Arabidopsis thaliana: one gene and its partners. The protein of the gene in region 3 interacts with the protein of the main gene of each other region in a biochemical or structural test. Each region holds a gene or a part of one and is shown on either strand. Other genes may lie near its edges.

Region 1 (4,437 bases), on a different chromosome or scaffold from region 3:
TCCTCAACACCAGTTGTTATCTGTTCTCCGGTCATAGAACGCTTTTCCAGTGATTTTACTCTTATGTATCCGCCATCCTTTGTCTTCATACTTATTTAGCTTTTTCATCATAACACCCTTGGAAGTTTAACAAAAGACTGTAAAATCAATCTTTTTTTCACATAAGTCACATAAGTACTCAAACTCTATACTGAAAAATCATGTTTAACTGCTTGTGGAACTTCAGGATTGGGAAGATGGGTTGTGTGAGAGCAACGCTGATGGCTCATACTTGCATGAAAACTGGAACAAAGACTTGAAACTCTTTAGTGATGGTGAAGATGGCGGACAACAACTGCTTCAGGTTAATGTCTTCCTTTTATAACCTACTGTAGTGATAAGTTAGGAATAAAAAAATGGAAGATAATCTTTGTAGGATGATATCTTCAAATGTACTTAAAATAGCTCTATTATGGAATGATCTAGTTGACAAATATATAGATAAACCTTCAGATTTACTTGTTTGTTGTTTGTAGCCTTCTATCTATATTAACAGGAGAATTTGTTACTTGACAATTAGATGAGTACGCAGTCATCGGCAATGTTGTGAGCTATTAACTTGGGAATTTGTTTTTTGAGAAATTGTTCACGGAAATATACTTTGAGAACTAGTTCTCCTACATTTGTTTTTCAGTAACCTAGTTGTATCGCATGTTTTCTTGTTTCCGATACTCTACTTTAGTTTATACGACTCTTGAATCCTTTAGCTCATAGGGGGGGAGTGGAGCTTAAAACCTGTTTTACTTTGCTGAAGGCGTTTGTTCTTTGCATTTGCAGCTATTCATACTGCGGGCAGAAGCCGAACTGCAAACTGTATCCGATAAAAACCTCACAGAGGCCCTTAAGTGTGTAGATTCACTAAAATCAGCGGTTTCCAACTTCTTTGGCGGGCATGTCGTAAAACCAATCGCTTTTTTCCTAGAGCCGGACCATCCTCAGAAAAACCGTGACGAGCTCTTCAAGCCACGTGGTGCTGGTAACCAAACAGCAGGCGGTGTGAAGTACAAAGGGGACTGGATGACCCGTCCGGTGTCAGAAGACGAGGTTGCATTGATGGCTAAACTGCTAATCAACATGTCTATTTGGCTCAATGAACGCCTCGGGCTGAACAAATCTGAGACGAGCAACGACAAGAAAGAGAATTCAGAGTCAGTATCATATGTAGATGTATCAGGGGAAGATGTGGGAAACGTTGCAGGACCTGGAGATGCTGCGAAGATGCTGTTGCGAGGGATGGTGATGGTATGTGGCACAGTGTTGCAGCTGATGAGAAGATTCGGGATTCGAGTCAATCTTCGGGTTATGGCTTCAAAAAAGTTTCTGATGCTTTTATTTCTCTATGTCCTGTTTCTTGTAGTCAAAAGGGTAGTCACAAGGATGATTTGGTAGATGGGTGTCCAAAATGTGTTAAAAGTTGAAGAAGTAAAAGGAAATAGACACTCTAACTCGCGTAGAGCGTTTGATAGGAATTGGAAAGCTTATTTACGAAACAGGGACTGAGTTTTTTGGTAATTTACATGTTCGCATTACAAATTGAAGCGTGTCTTTACTTGTTACAACCAATGAGAATGGTCCACGTAATCAGTCTCCACGTGTCATCTGCCAATAAGATCCACCCATCAGCAAAATTCATCGGTCGTTCGTCGCTGACTATCACAATTCCGAACACCAAATTTCGAATTTCTGCCACTTGCTTTGTGATCTGATCGTTCGAAATTGACCGGAGAATTCTTCTGTGTTCTTAGATCTGTCGCGAATTTGTTAAAGCTCCTCAGAAGGTTTTGGTTACAGATCTTCTCTGTGGTCTTCACCACTATGGCCGCTCCGTTTTTTTCAACTCCATTTCAGCCTTATGTCTACCAGGTGTGCTTCTTCTCTCTTTGATCATTTCGCTTTCAAAATGATGAGGTCGTGTTCTTCTTAGTTGCAATTTGACTAAATTTGAGGTTCATTGTAAGTAGGATTTAGAGAAATTCCATCTTTGATTAGTTTAACTTAGCTGGGAGAACGCATAATCGGGCCAATTAGGGATTTTAGATCATGACATTGTTCTAGTGTTGTCTAATAAGTGGCCATTTGATGCAGAGTCAACAAGATACTATTACACCGTTCCAGATTTTGGGTGGTGAATCCCAAGTTGTTCAGGTACATTTGCTTTCTTAATATAGCGTGATCTTCGTATTTGTGGGTTATATGCCATATAATTTTAACTTCTCTAACCATTGCTCGTATGTTGGCAGATAATGTTAAAGTCAGAGGAGAAAGTCATTGCTAAGCCTGGTACTTCCACTGAATAACTCGCTTCTCTACTCAGTTTTGTATAATGGTTTCAAGTTTCAACTAATTTTGTGTTATGGTGATGTAGCTTCCATGTGCTACATGTCTGGCTCCATCGAGATGGAAAATACATACACTCCTGAACAAGAAGTTGGAGTTCTGCAGTGGATTTTGGGCAAGAGTGTAAGCAGTGTTGTTCTTCGGAATACTGGGCAAAACGACGGGTTTGTTGGTATTGCTGCACCTTATTTGGCTAGGATTCTCCCGGTTAGTGATTTTAGCTTGTCCATGTTGGCATAATCATCTTCCATTTCACCCTTAATGTATACCGCCTGATTCCTTGTTGTTTTTGTGATCTTTGTTTTCCATGTAGATTGATTTGGCAATGTTTGGAGGTGAGATCTTATGCCAGGTAGAGTCTTTTTTCCTAGATTTTGAACACTTAGCTATCAGCTTCTTCTTCACTCAGATCAAGCTCTTACAGAGTCGCCTGACCTTTTCTTCACTTTCTGTAGCCAGATGCATTCCTTTGTTCTGTCCATGATGTGAAGGTTGTCAACTCCGTTGACCAGAGAGCAAGAAACATTGTTGCCGCTGGTGCAGAGGTAAGAACTAAGAAGGAAAATACGTTGATTTGGTTTCTGATGCAATTATTATTCTTAACAAAATTCTGCAACCCGTTGTCTGGCTTCTACTCACAAATTGCTGTTGCAGGGATTTCTGAGACAACGCCTATCTGGACAAGGTCTTGCTTTCATCCTCGCAGGTGGCTCTGGTGAGATTTTATCCCAATGAAATGCTGTTTCCGTTGAGGCCTCATCCCCTTCAATAAAACTGACATTTAACATCCCAAACATGTTAGTTGTACAAAAAGTTCTGGAGGTAGGAGAAGTTTTCTCCATTGACGTTTCCTGTATTGCTGCTCTCACACCCTCTATCGATGTCCGAATCAAAAACAATGCTCCTTTTAGACGAGCACTATTCGGGGTACATTTTCACATATACTTTGTTTCAATGAGAAGAAGATTCAGGTTTTTGTTTTGTTTCTCAACTGTTTTAATCTTTCAACATTCAAAAGGGTGATAACGTAGTAATGGCGACTCTAACGGGGCCTGGCATTGTCTTCATTCAAAGCTTACCGTTTCATCGGCTCTCGCAGCGTATTGCAAGGTAAAGCAACCAACAATCCAAATCTCCATTTATGTTGCAAATATGTTTATATAAAGTGTGAATGGTTTTTCTGTGACAGGTCGGTAACGTCGCCAAACATGAGAGAGAATCCAAAATTGCTGATACAGATAGCTATATTTGCGTTCCTAGCATACGCTGTGATTTTGTCATCGTTGATCTTAACCGAAGTTTGAAAGCAGAGAGATAGAAAGAATTATCCGACCAACAAACTAACGTTGTAATTGTTCAAATTATCTCGGGTTTGGACTTTGGATGGATAGAGTGAAGATGAATTAGACACATCTCAAACCATTTTCTTTTCGTTTACTAGTGAGTTTAGGCACTTGTGTTATATTGATATTGCTCCTATATATTGAAAAGTGAAAACGTAGATACCGAGTTGAACAAAAATTGGATTCTTTACTTAAATCACACATCAATTTAAATTAATTAATTTGATTTTTTGTTTTGTTAAATAATTAATGTCTAATGATATTATTGATTAATTTTCATCGGATGGTTAAGAAATTGGATTAATTCAAAAAAAAAAATCTGGATTAATTCGTTACCAATGGATCATATAGTCAAGACTCAAGAGAATGTCTCAATGATATCATGGACTAATTTTCAGAAAATGGATTATAGCAGGAGTTAATAGTTTTCCAAAAACATTGAACTGTCAAAAACAGTAAACATGCTCAAGCAAAAATTCACAATTTTGAAAACAGCGAAATGTCATAGGTGTTAACACACGAATTTCAACAATATACAATACTCCGTTTTTTCCGTTTACTTTTTAAACTATTCGAATTACTCATGGATACGGATCTTACGATACGATGAATACATTTACGTTATAAGAAGTGACTACAACCATTCTTAAACATGTTTACGATTCGCACATAAGATCTCTCAAATCAGTGAAGCTAGACCAACAAGAATAAATTTGAT
Region 2 (3,808 bases), on a different chromosome or scaffold from region 3:
TACAAAACAACCTTCCCTTTCTTCCTTCAACTTGTCTTCGTCTCGATATTTGTTAGGCTCCGTTACAACGTCAATTATCTTTCTTTTTCTTATTACACAAATATCACAGAGAATACAGTAATTATATTTTGAATATAGTATAAATTGTTTACGTACTGAAATAGAATAAAAATCAGAGCCGCCGCAACTTGCGAAAGTCTGTTGGGGTCGAATGACTTCAGTGCGAAGCACCCCTTCCACTCCCGCGCTTTTCTTGGCCATTTTAAAAATGAAAATATCAAACTCAATATCAATTTAAAAAATTTAAAATTTAAAATTTAAATTGATTTAATGAAGTCATGCCCATAGGGATCCAGACTTGAGCAGGCAAGTTGGCCATGAAGTAAACTACATAAGAGCACTATAATAATAGATATATGTGATAAATCAAATAAGAAAAATGATTGGAGAGTTGTCTGATAAAGTTCTCTTTTATTTTCTCCTTTTCTTTTGTTGAAGCATCGAAAACAGTTGCGTCTATTGGGAAATGGTAAATTTATAACATTAAAGTAAAACTTAGAGCTCACATGCCAAAGTTTGTGTACTAAATTTCTGTTGTATACAAAATGTTATAATCAATAGTCGTAAGCAAACATCTAAATAGAGTCTAAACTGTATTTTTCAACTACTTTCTAAATTAACTTTGTTTACTTAGTTCTATTGGTTAGAGTTGTGATTTTATCGGACATAGTTGTAAGCTTATAACACACATATCTTTAATTAGTCGTATTATTCGAAAGCATATTAGTTTTCTGCTTATCGCAGTTGGTGCCCTAATAAGAGGTCGCTAATTAGTTTACTTTAGAGCTAACTATTCTAATTAGTAAACGATAATTGTGGAGGATAACGGCGGAAAATATCAAAAAATAAAAAAATATATTAAAGCGTTTACAACGGAGAAGGATTTGATTCTTGGGTTGGTCAAGAAAAAAAAAAATTGCAACTCCAACTTGCTTGGTATGGTTTTATATTATTAATGGTCCAAAGAATATCCACATATCTACTTCATTATTAAAAAAAATAAAACTAATACTGATCTCCATAAAATAATGTAAGAAACATGTTATGTGTATATATTATGAGTTCAGGACGTAATTAGAGAATTACTAATAGTGTGATTATAATTAGGGACAGCTACGAAGGGGTGGCATATGCGAGAGGATGATTCTATTCCATGCCTATTCACACGACATATGCGAAGGAAGAGAGTCCAGAGCATAGGCCAAGAAAAGAATATTATCTCTATACAATCTAAGTTATATTTTGTTGTTAATTACAGCTACAATCGGAAATATATGAATACCAAAAAATTACGGTAAACTTCATGTATACACATGCATATGTTATAGTGTTTGTTTCTAATAGTGATTGTTTCATTGCAATCTTTTTTTGTTACTTAAAAAAATCTACAGTACGTTTTCAAGTATTTTGAATAAATCATATCACGCTTGTTTTGAAACATAAATGAGTTACATAATTAAACTTGATTCAACGCAAATTCAATAGAAACTGACTACTCTTAGCAACAATATAACGATCATGATCTCATTGAATATCAAGCATGTTACTAATTTTACTACCGGTCAAAAATTAATATATACCTCGTAAGTGATAATATTAAAGTTATTTATACAAAACAATAGTCGTGCTACAATATTTATTTATCCAATATAATAACGAAAATATCACGTAGCTTAAAATTTCATTTTGGTTTAACAGCTCAACAAAGAAAAACCTCCTCTCGTCACGTGCATTAATTACTCCCAAAATTCAGTCTTTCTACATTTAATTATATTATTTTAAAAAATAAAAATCGTAACCTCATTTTTTTTGTTTAATAATACCAAAAAAAATCAGTATAAATTGAGGAACTCGCACCATTAACCGTCACAAGCTTTCATGCTCTGTTTCATGTTTTCTCTCTACACGCTTAAATATTCAATCTTTTAATCAAATCTGATTCAACCGTGTCGTAGATTTGCTTCAATGGAGTGGATTCGAGGAGAAACTATCGGATACGGAACTTTTTCTACAGTAAGTCTAGCGACGCGGTCTAATAACGATTCCGGCGAGTTTCCTCCGTTAATGGCTGTGAAATCTGCAGACTCATACGGCGCTGCTTCTCTGGCAAACGAGAAATCAGTTCTAGATAATCTCGGAGACGATTGCAACGAGATCGTACGGTGTTTCGGCGAGGATCGGACGGTCGAAAACGGTGAAGAGATGCATAATTTGTTCTTGGAATACGCTTCTAGAGGAAGCTTAGAGAGTTATCTTAAGAAATTAGCCGGTGAAGGTGTACCGGAATCCACCGTGCGTCGCCACACAGGATCGGTGCTTAGAGGTCTACGACACATCCACGCTAACGGATTCGCTCACTGTGATTTAAAACTCGGGAATATTCTGTTGTTCGGTGACGGCGCCGTTAAGATTGCGGATTTTGGATTGGCGAAGAGAATTGGGGATTTAACGGCGTTAAATTACGGTGTGCAGATTAGAGGTACGCCGTTGTACATGGCGCCGGAATCTGTTAACGATAACGAGTACGGATCAGAAGGTGACGTGTGGGCTTTAGGATGCGTAGTAGTTGAGATGTTTAGTGGTAAAACGGCATGGAGTTTAAAAGAAGGGTCGAACTTCATGTCGTTGTTGTTACGCATCGGTGTTGGTGACGAGGTTCCGATGATTCCCGAGGAGTTGTCGGAACAAGGAAGAGATTTTTTGTCAAAGTGTTTCGTTAAAGATCCCAAAAAGAGATGGACGGCTGAGATGCTTCTAAACCATCCATTTGTAACCGTCGATGTTGATCACGACGTTTTAGTCAAAGAAGAAGATTTCGTTGTTAATATGAAAACAGAGGACGTCTCGACATCGCCGAGATGCCCATTCGAATTTCCCGATTGGGTTTCGGTTTCTTCCGGTTCACAAACGATCGATTCGCCGGATGAGAGAGTTGCTAGTTTGGTGACTGATATGATCCCTGATTGGTCTGTTACCAATAGCTGGGTCACCGTACGGTGACGATAGTGATTAAAAAACAGGGGACAAAAACAGAGTTGCAGAGAAAGACTAGAGCTTTTTTTTAATTCCTAGTCAGATCCAACAATTCTAATTTAATTCGTTGTATAAATATTTCTTATTAGAAATTGACTATTTATTTATATGTAAATACCAGTTTTGTATTCATGATCTCAAATCTTGATTCTCTTTAGTACTATATGGAAATTGTATTCATGACTCATGAGCCCATTATCTCGATTATCTTTCTCCATGAATGTGAATAAAGATCGTATATTCAGACATAATCACACGGAATAAGAGAATAAGTTTAACCAAAGAAGAAAAAAAACAAATCTTTTGCAAAGTAAAGATCAAGACTCTTGGACAAGGCTCGTGGCCACCACAGAACAGCTCACTTCAAACTCAGCTTCATCTTCATCAACCCAACTCACCAATCCATAAACCACGTTCTCTTGTAACCCTCTTGGACTCTCCAATCTCACAGTGTAGCTTAGCTTCTCGTTTTTCTCGCTGAACATTAGTTTCTTTGGCTCTACGACGACGTTTAGACCCTTCAAGCCTCTCACTCTCACGATGTAGCTTCTCTTTGCTTCTCCCACGTTTGTCAATGTCCTCTTAAAGATCTTGGGACTGCTTTGATCAGACGTGAAGTAGGCAATGATTGAAGGGTAATTGAGATATGGAGATGGCTTTTTACAAGCGTCGGAGATATTCGATCTCGTGATGATATTGATCAATTTTCTTGATT
Region 3 (8,009 bases):
TCAAGATATAGGGTGGTGTATTGGCCTAAACATTTGGGTATGATTAAATGGAAATTTGATTGGGAGGACTTTTGGTAGGATTTAAGGAAATTTTAGGTGATTTAATCCAAAATTCAAAATCGTTTTGTCGTTGTAAGATAGACTTTTCTATATTTAGAAAAACTGATTTATTGAGATTTCTCATTAAACTTTATGATATTGGTGTTGTGTTGTGATAATTTTTACAGAACCATGTTATACAATTATCAAGATTTAATCATGAAGAACATTAACTTATCCTCCATTGATTTTGTCTTCTTTGATAATGGATATGATCACACTTTTTTTCTGTCTTCTTCCTCTTATTGGAAGTATCGTAAAATAAAAAGTCTCAAGAAACAAACAAAAATGGACTTTGAGGGATTTGTGGATATAAACACAAAAAAAAGTGGAATTATATTACATGATTCCGATTCGTCATCATCTATAAGACAATAAATAAAAATATTCAAAAAAATTTCGTTATGACACTACAATACATATTTAGAACATACAAAGCTTATAGTGCATATAAACAACACAGAGGATACAAAAAAAGAAAGAGACTTTGTTGTTTGAGAGATGGTTTTATCTGGTCTGGAAGTTGAGAGTTCTGATGCAGAAGGCGAAGATGAAGGCGAAGAAGACGGTGAAAGCGATGAGTACAGCCGCCACTGGTCCCATAAAGTCAGATTGGAAACCATAATGGTCCTCAATGTATTGCTTGACGGTTAAGTCAGGAGCACCACCAAGGACTTGGATACGTGTCTCCACATCACCGTACTGCGACACTATCAATCCATACACGGTCCATGCAACAGGGCAGATCCAGTAGTACCAAATCCACCATTTTGGGATTTTGGGTCTTGGAATGAAGAAACCAGAGAAGAGGTTGAAAATACCGTAAAACGCTGAGGCGAAAATCGAAGCGACTTGTTGGTTTGGTGTGAGGGAAACAGTCATCATGCCGTAGTAAGTCCAGTAGAGGAATGAGAAGTAGCTAACGAAGACGAACCAGAAGAACTTTTCGGCTTTCCATTCGAAACCAACCATGGCGTAGACGATGAGTGAGTAGTAAACGGTTTGAATAAGGACATAGGGAAGCTCACAAGTGACTTGAGAGATGGCATATGGCATGGCTGAGTACATTCCTGCTGCTCTTTCTCTGTAGAACACTGTTCTTTCCACTGCAACCATCGGTTGTACTGTTGAACAGTTGTTGATTCCCACGAAGATAATCGCGGCATACAATGCTCCTATCACCATTGTTAGATCCCCTGCGTTCGACCTGTTACCTCCGATTTGCCAGAAGACTGTACCAATCAAGAGAGATGTTGCCAATGTGAAGATGAAACGGACAAGATTGTAGTCTGGAGATCTCCAATACGTCCACCATTGTTTCCATAAGCATGATTTGAACTGTCCCCATGTGTTTTGTGAGAATTGTGTAGCAAAGTAAAGATCTGATGCTCCTGCTGGTGGTACACTTAGTTCTTTTACCAACGCTTTGTTTCGCCTGCATTTTGTTATGTATTCATTAGTACTATTACTTAAACAATCAATCAGATGCAATGAGCCATGGAAAAGAAGGAACTTAAACTTACTGGTGCAATGCTGATTGATTGTATAACTCAGCAAAGTCAACACTAAGCTTTAGCTCAGCGGCGAGTGAGCTAGCTTCGAGCATCCAAGTGGCCGGGTTATACTTTTCTGGAATCTTGGACACTCCGGGGAAAGATTCAAAGTACTCAACCACCTTGTGAGAGTTTTGACCCAATGGACCCGCGTAAATCACTTGTCCTCCTCTCTTCATCAGCATCAATTCATCAAATGCTTCAAAGATATCAATGCTAGGCTGATGAATGGTGCAGACCACGGTTCTTCCAGTGTCCACTGTGTTCCTTACCGCCCTCATCACAATAGCCGCTGCTCTAGCGTCTAGCCCTGAAGTTGGCTCATCCATAAAGATGATGGAAGGGTTGGCTACAAGCTCCACCGCGATTGTCAGTCTCTTTCTCTGCTCCGTGGAAAGCCCCGTGACACCCGGTAAACCAACAATGGAGTCCCTAAGACTGTCCAGCTCTACCAATTCCATCACTTGATCCACAAACATCATTTTTTCATCTTTGCCGACTTCTTTAGGAAGACGAAGGAAAGCAGAGAAAATCAGAGATTCTCTGACTGTTACTTGCGGGGAGTGAATATCGGTCTGCTCACAATATCCTGAGATTCTAGCAAATGTTTCTTGAACCTTTGGGAATCCTGATATTCTCACATCTCCTTCAATGTATCCACCTGTTTTCCTTCCGGCCAAAACGTCCATAAGCGTAGTCTTACCGGCACCACTCACTCCCATAAGCGCAGTCAAAACTCCTGGCCTAAATGCACCAGTCACACCTTTAAGCAGTTGGAGTCTTGTTTCTGTAACTCCTTGGTCTCTCATTTCCTATACCATCAAAAGATATCTATTTAGTTTAAGTAATTCATATTTAATTTAGTGTAAAGATTTTAAGTGAAGATAGTTACTTACCCCAGGCATGTCAACAAAGTATTTGACGTCGTCAAAGGACATAGCTAAAGGAGTGAAAGGAAGAACCATTCCTTTCTTATTGCCTGCACCACCTGATGCTTCAGCCGCAGAGTCCCTACTCATTCTCCCCATTGCGACCTCTCCTCCTGATAGCAGGGAGCAGAATGAGACAAGAGTACAAGAAAAGCAAAACATCTAAGCAGATTAAGAAATGTGTTTACTTACTTCTGTTCCCATCTGCAGTAGACAAAGATCTACGCATTGGATCTTTCCCCTGATCAGCGTCTTCATTTTCTTCTTCTGGAAGTAAACCTGCCTTCTTCCCAAGAGCTGTAGTTTCAAAGGTACATTATTAGTAGTCTATTGTTTTTAGATTTGGTAAAACGGGTGATACAACACGAGAACTTACGGTTGAGATAGGTAAGTGCCAAGGTGAATAGAATGTTGAAGAGGGCTGTGAAACAAAGCAAGGCTCCAACTGAAATCCAGTACCAGTTCTTTTGATGGTAGACATCCCAAGTATTAAGCACCATAGTTCCAAGCTTTATTGTGCTGTTAGAAGAAGCCTGTAATTTGAAAAAAATATGACTCAGAGGCGGCTTTACTATGATATTTGTTTGTAAAATGCAGAATAAAGAAGTAAGCCACTTACCATTTTGTTCATCCATCTGGGAGCAAACATTTCATTGACTACTAGACCGTTGAAAGCATAGGTGAGAGGAGATACCCAGTAAGCCCAACCCCACCAGTCAGGAATCTTGCCTTTCGGAAGAAGGAAGCCTCCGAGCAAGAACACAAGAAGTAGAGTGAGAGCACCACCAGTATTAGCAATCATCATGGTTCTGCACACAGAAGCAATCAACCTAAAGAGGGATGCAGCCATTTGTTGAATCAGAAACACCAGAAGAAACTGCTTGAAGAAGCGGCTGGCGTCAGGTGCAAAACCAATGGAGTAATAAGTCACCACCATCCAAGCCGTCGATTCTAATATTGAGCTTGGAATCCCAAGCAAGAAAGTGGGAAGTGAGAAGGTCCAGGATGGATAAAACAAGAGATCCCTCTGTTTGTAGAACACAGGGAGTCTTGAAACCATCATAGCCATCTCCGCAAACCCATTAAACATGTTGATGATCATTCCAAATAGCAATGCTCCTATGTAGAGATTAGCATCACCCTCGTTTCTTGTGTTCATTTCGGTTCTCAGGAAGAGTGTAGACGTGATTGCAGCAATGATGACGATCTGGACAGTCTTGAAAACATAGAAGAACGCGTTTCGCTGCATAAGCAGCCACTCTTTGTCCCAACAGCTCTTGAGAAGCTCCCTCTTTGAGACAGAGTACTTATCGAACACAAGAGCTGCTTTGTGGCCGCGAGACTTATCGAACGGTACTGCAAGTTCGTTAGACATCTTCGTCCCAACATGGAAACTCTTGTATCTACTGGCAAACTCTGAAACCGGAATGTAGTGATAAGGTCTGTTCGGGTTCACCCAGTACTGTTCTTGATCTTTCTTGGAAGTAACCTCTTGCAGGAAATCAGCTGTTCCTTTTCTCTCAGGACACTTGAACCCAAAGCTCTCAAAGAACTCAAGAATGTTGTCTCTCGGTCCTTGGTACACGATCTGACCTTCCGACACCAAGATGATATCATCGAATAAATCAAAAGTCTCAGGAGCAGGCTGGAGGAGAGACATGAGCACCGTGGCTTCATTGAGGTGAACGATTTGTTGCAGACACTTGACGATTTGGAAAGTAGTGGAACTGTCAAGACCAGTGGATATTTCGTCCATGAAGAGTGTCTTAGTAGGTCCAACAATCATCTCACCAGTTGTGACACGTTTCTTCTGACCTCCAGATATACCTCTCATCATGTCATCTCCAACTATTGTGTCTTTGCAAATGTCAAGCCCCAAAATCTGTTACACGGCCAAAGTTAGTATTATACAAAAAAAGACTCAAAACTTTATGAACATGAGAAAAGATTGTCTAGAACATTTTTAGAATATGAAAACTTATATCAATATTCTAAAATAATGAAACCAAACGGTTAATGAATAAATTCCGGTTCAGTTTCGGTTTATAAAAAACGATTTAGTTCGATTCGATTTTATGAGTTGCTTGCCTAGTAACAAACACTCTTCTTGAAACAAAAAGAACAAGATGAGCTAAGTTAAGGCGAGAGTTGGACTCACTTTGAGAGTATAATCAGTGACGAGACTGTTCTTAACACCTTGAGCAGCAGAAGCTTTCATGAAGAGATCAACATCGGCTTCCGGGAATATACCAGCGTCCTTTTCTCTCCTCGCAAGCTCATTCAACAGATCTACAACAACAAGAATCAAAACCATTCAACAAAACTGAATCTTGAAAAAAAGATATGATTAAAGATTGAATCTTTTACTTACCATAACGAGTACCAACACCTTGACACCTAGCAGAGAAGTCAAGAGTCTCCTTAACAGTCATGATACCAACATGAAGATCGTTCTGACTAATGTAAGCAGAGGTCTTTCTCGGAACAAACTCATCGAGTTGGTAACCATTGTAAGTAATATCACCACTGACTTGTAGAGATTTATCAAGTTTCCCAGCTAAAGCCAACAAAAGAGTGGTCTTACCAGAAGAAGGAGGACCCAACAAAAGTGTCATCCTTCCAGGTTTAATAACCCCAGAGATATCTTTAAGAATCGTAAGCTGAGCTTTCTTAGCAAATTGAATACCAATCATACCTAAAGCAGACTCTCCCATGTTCCTCACAACATTCAAAAGTGTAGGAAGAGATCTATTACCAGTGTAACAATCAGCTTTAATCGTCAAATGCTCGTACCTGACTTCAACAGTTGGAAGTTTGATACCAACTCTATCGATCCTGTTTCTTAGCTTAGTCAAGATCCTTTCATTATCTTGCTCAGCTACTTTGAAAACCATGTCAATAAACTTCTGACGATCTTCACCATCAAGCTTGGTTACATCAACCTCCTTGCTCATGAGCTGGTTACCGTAAACATCGTCTTCGACTACAGCGTTCATGAGAGTGGTTCGGAGACGACTGTAAGTTGGTAGCTTCTCAATGGCAGCCCATTTAAGAGCTTCTTCATCGTCGTTGACTGATTGTGTTCTTCTTGAACCAGATGAGAAGATATCTTCAATGTTCCTACTTGCTCTGCTTACACTTCGACTTATGCTTCTTCTCATACTAACACCACCTCCTCCTAAAGGAGGAAGATTTGGATTGTAATCCATCGTTCACCAAGAAAGCTTGTGACTTTGGCTCAAAGTTTATGTCTTTTGAACAAAGTTTGTGTTTTTGGATCAAAGTTTGAGACTTTGGATCTAATCCCGTGAGGATTTAGTTGGGTGATACAGAGAAGAGAGAGAGGAGGAAGATGATGAATGAAGAGAAGAGGGTGGGATTAGAAAATGGATAAATAGGGAGTGAGGAAGGAACATCAAGGCGGACTTTTCTTTATGTTGACTATTCATACTTTGTTGAAATAATCAAAAATAATAAAAAGTCGTGTTTTTTATGTGCAAGATGGGTTTTATTATTCAAATGTGACGGCTCTTTTACGTTGTTTTTTTATTTACAAAAGATATTTTTTGTGCTAATAATGCGACGGCTCTTTAACGTTTGTTATTTTATTGCAAAGATATTATGTAATAATTGAAGTGTTTGAACATTTCTTATTCAAAGTCAATAACGATGACCCCATTTAGTTATAGCTACTACTAGTGGAGATATCGTTAAATGAAAAGTCTTTCTTGTGTACTTTGTTTCTTTTCTACATTTTATTGGTGAGAAAAGAAAGGAAGACCGTCGTTGGGTTTTGAAGTCATTGTGTTGATGAAGTCACATTCACATTTCAATTCAACACATACGTGAAGGATGGTTTGTTTATAAGTCTTTGTGTTCTGGAAAGTGAGAAGTTGCGGAGGAAGAAGCCATTTAAATACCCGGAATAAGAAGTTTTAGTGACAACTCCTCAATGTTGTTATGATAAGAAGACTCCATTGACTTCCTCTTAAACTCTGCGTTTGGCTATTTTCTCAACTAATCTTTGATTAGTGCTCTGCATTTTGTGTATTAACCAATGTCTAATTCATTCCTTCAGCCAGCAAATTTCATTTTCCTGAGCTCTTCTCAGCTTCTTTAGTAATGCTCTATAGGTTGGTTTCTTTGTCAATTAAGCTCTCGGTCTTCTTCAGTCTGCAGTTTATACTCCAAGTTTTCATTTACCTTTGAGGACGACTCATCGATTTTTTCAAGAGAACAAACCTACATTGCTCTGAGTTTTCTAAAGCAATGTTCTTTGGCTTGACTTCGTTGACCAACAAGCTTCCTTTAAATTTCATGCTTCCAGTTTCTGCTTCTCTAACTCTTTCCTACAGATCCTCATTCTTCTCCTCAAGTTCCTTCAGTTTATTCTCATTTACCTTGCCAAGTTCCCGACTTTTCCGCGCAAATGAAGTTCTCGCTGTCTCTACACAGTCTTAGAATGGACAAACTCATTTTGGGTGTTTACTTATCTCAGTCTTCAAGAATTTTTCCTTACTTTTCACTTGTATATTTTGCAGCCAACTTATAACTTTTAATTTGGGCTCCACAATGTTCAAGCTATGGTTGACATATCAACAAGACCTTCTCCAATCCTTGCCTTGCTTTAAAAACGCTTCACTTGTATCCACCAAGCTTTCATATACCTTTGACAAGTTATCGAGTTTTTCAAGAGAAAAAACCTTCATTGCTCTGAGCTTTCTGTTTTCTAAAGCAACCTTCTTTGCCTCGACTTTCATGCTTCCAGTCTCCGCTTCTCCAACTCTTTCCTACAAATCCTCACTCTTCTCCTCAAGTTCCTTAAGTGTATTTTTCATACATGCTTCTTCTTCTTCTCATTTTCCTGAAGGTCAGACAAATTCACTTTGCCAAGTTCCCAATTTTCCACACAACTGAAGTTCTCGCTGTTCCCACATAGTCTTAGAATTGAAAAACTCATTTTGAGTGTGTACTTATCTCAGTCTTCAAGAATTTTTCCACAGTTTTCATTTGTATCTTTTGCAGCCAACTTATACCTTTTCATTTGGGCTCCACAATGTTCAAGCTATGGTTGACATATCAACAAGATCTTCTCCAATGCTTCCCTTGCTTTAAAAATACTTAACTTGCAAATCCAAAGTTAAGCTTTCCATAGCTTTGTTGCTTTTCTCTTATTTTCTTCTTCTTCTTACAGTTTTTTCCTGTCTGAGTTTGTCATTGGCTTCCTTAGTCGATTTTCAGCAGATCATCAAGAGCTCTAGCTTTATCTTTCTTAAGCATTGCTACTTCCATATTACCTCTCCTAAAACCCTCCTGAATCTGATTCAGTTGAGCAGGTACCTCAAAATTCCTTCACTGTTATTACACGTTCTGAAAAATGCCAAAAACAATATGATGATCAATCAATTAACTAAATTGGCCAGACTAG

Evidence for each region. The genes of interacting proteins can lie anywhere in the genome.
Region 1: the proteins of PEN3 (region 3) and AT5G47420 form a complex in vitro, tested with the Arabidopsis thaliana proteins (one study listed by BioGRID).
Region 2: the proteins of PEN3 (region 3) and MAPKKK19 form a complex in vitro, tested with the Arabidopsis thaliana proteins (one study listed by BioGRID).

The regions. Positions count from the first base shown.
Region 1 is NC_003076.8:19,231,159-19,235,595, forward strand, and holds AT5G47420 (Tryptophan RNA-binding attenuator protein-like protein), read left to right. Parts: upstream 1-1,625; 5' UTR 1,626-1,854; coding exon 1,855-1,902; intron 1,903-2,124; coding exon 2,125-2,184; intron 2,185-2,279; coding exon 2,280-2,319; intron 2,320-2,404; coding exon 2,405-2,583; intron 2,584-2,689; coding exon 2,690-2,728; intron 2,729-2,831; coding exon 2,832-2,921; intron 2,922-3,030; coding exon 3,031-3,091; intron 3,092-3,178; coding exon 3,179-3,303; intron 3,304-3,394; coding exon 3,395-3,486; intron 3,487-3,565; coding exon 3,566-3,680; 3' UTR 3,681-3,908; downstream 3,909-4,437. Other genes in the region: AT5G47400 (sphingomyelin phosphodiesterase), read left to right, coding at 227-343, 817-1,428.
Region 2 is NC_003076.8:26,770,701-26,774,508, forward strand, and holds MAPKKK19 (mitogen-activated protein kinase kinase kinase 19), read left to right. Parts: upstream 1-1,943; 5' UTR 1,944-2,025; coding exon 2,026-3,060; 3' UTR 3,061-3,279; downstream 3,280-3,808. Other genes in the region: AT5G67090 (Subtilisin-like serine endopeptidase family protein), read right to left, coding at 3,411-3,808.
Region 3 is NC_003070.9:22,032,442-22,040,450, reverse strand, and holds PEN3 (ABC-2 and Plant PDR ABC-type transporter family protein), read right to left. Parts: upstream 6,029-8,009; 5' UTR 5,791-6,028; coding exon 4,953-5,790; intron 4,871-4,952; coding exon 4,740-4,870; intron 4,464-4,739; coding exon 3,201-4,463; intron 3,115-3,200; coding exon 2,958-3,114; intron 2,879-2,957; coding exon 2,774-2,878; intron 2,695-2,773; coding exon 2,549-2,694; intron 2,465-2,548; coding exon 1,623-2,464; intron 1,535-1,622; coding exon 607-1,534; 3' UTR 325-606; downstream 1-324. Other genes in the region: AT1G59865 (uncharacterized protein), read left to right, coding at 7,154-7,451, 7,812-7,917, 8,005-8,009. UniProt on the Arabidopsis thaliana protein: Together with ABCG37, regulates auxin homeostasis and responses by playing a dual role in coumarin (e.g. esculin) and in the auxin precursor indole 3-butyric acid (IBA) efflux transport, thus influencing cotyledons, roots and root hairs development.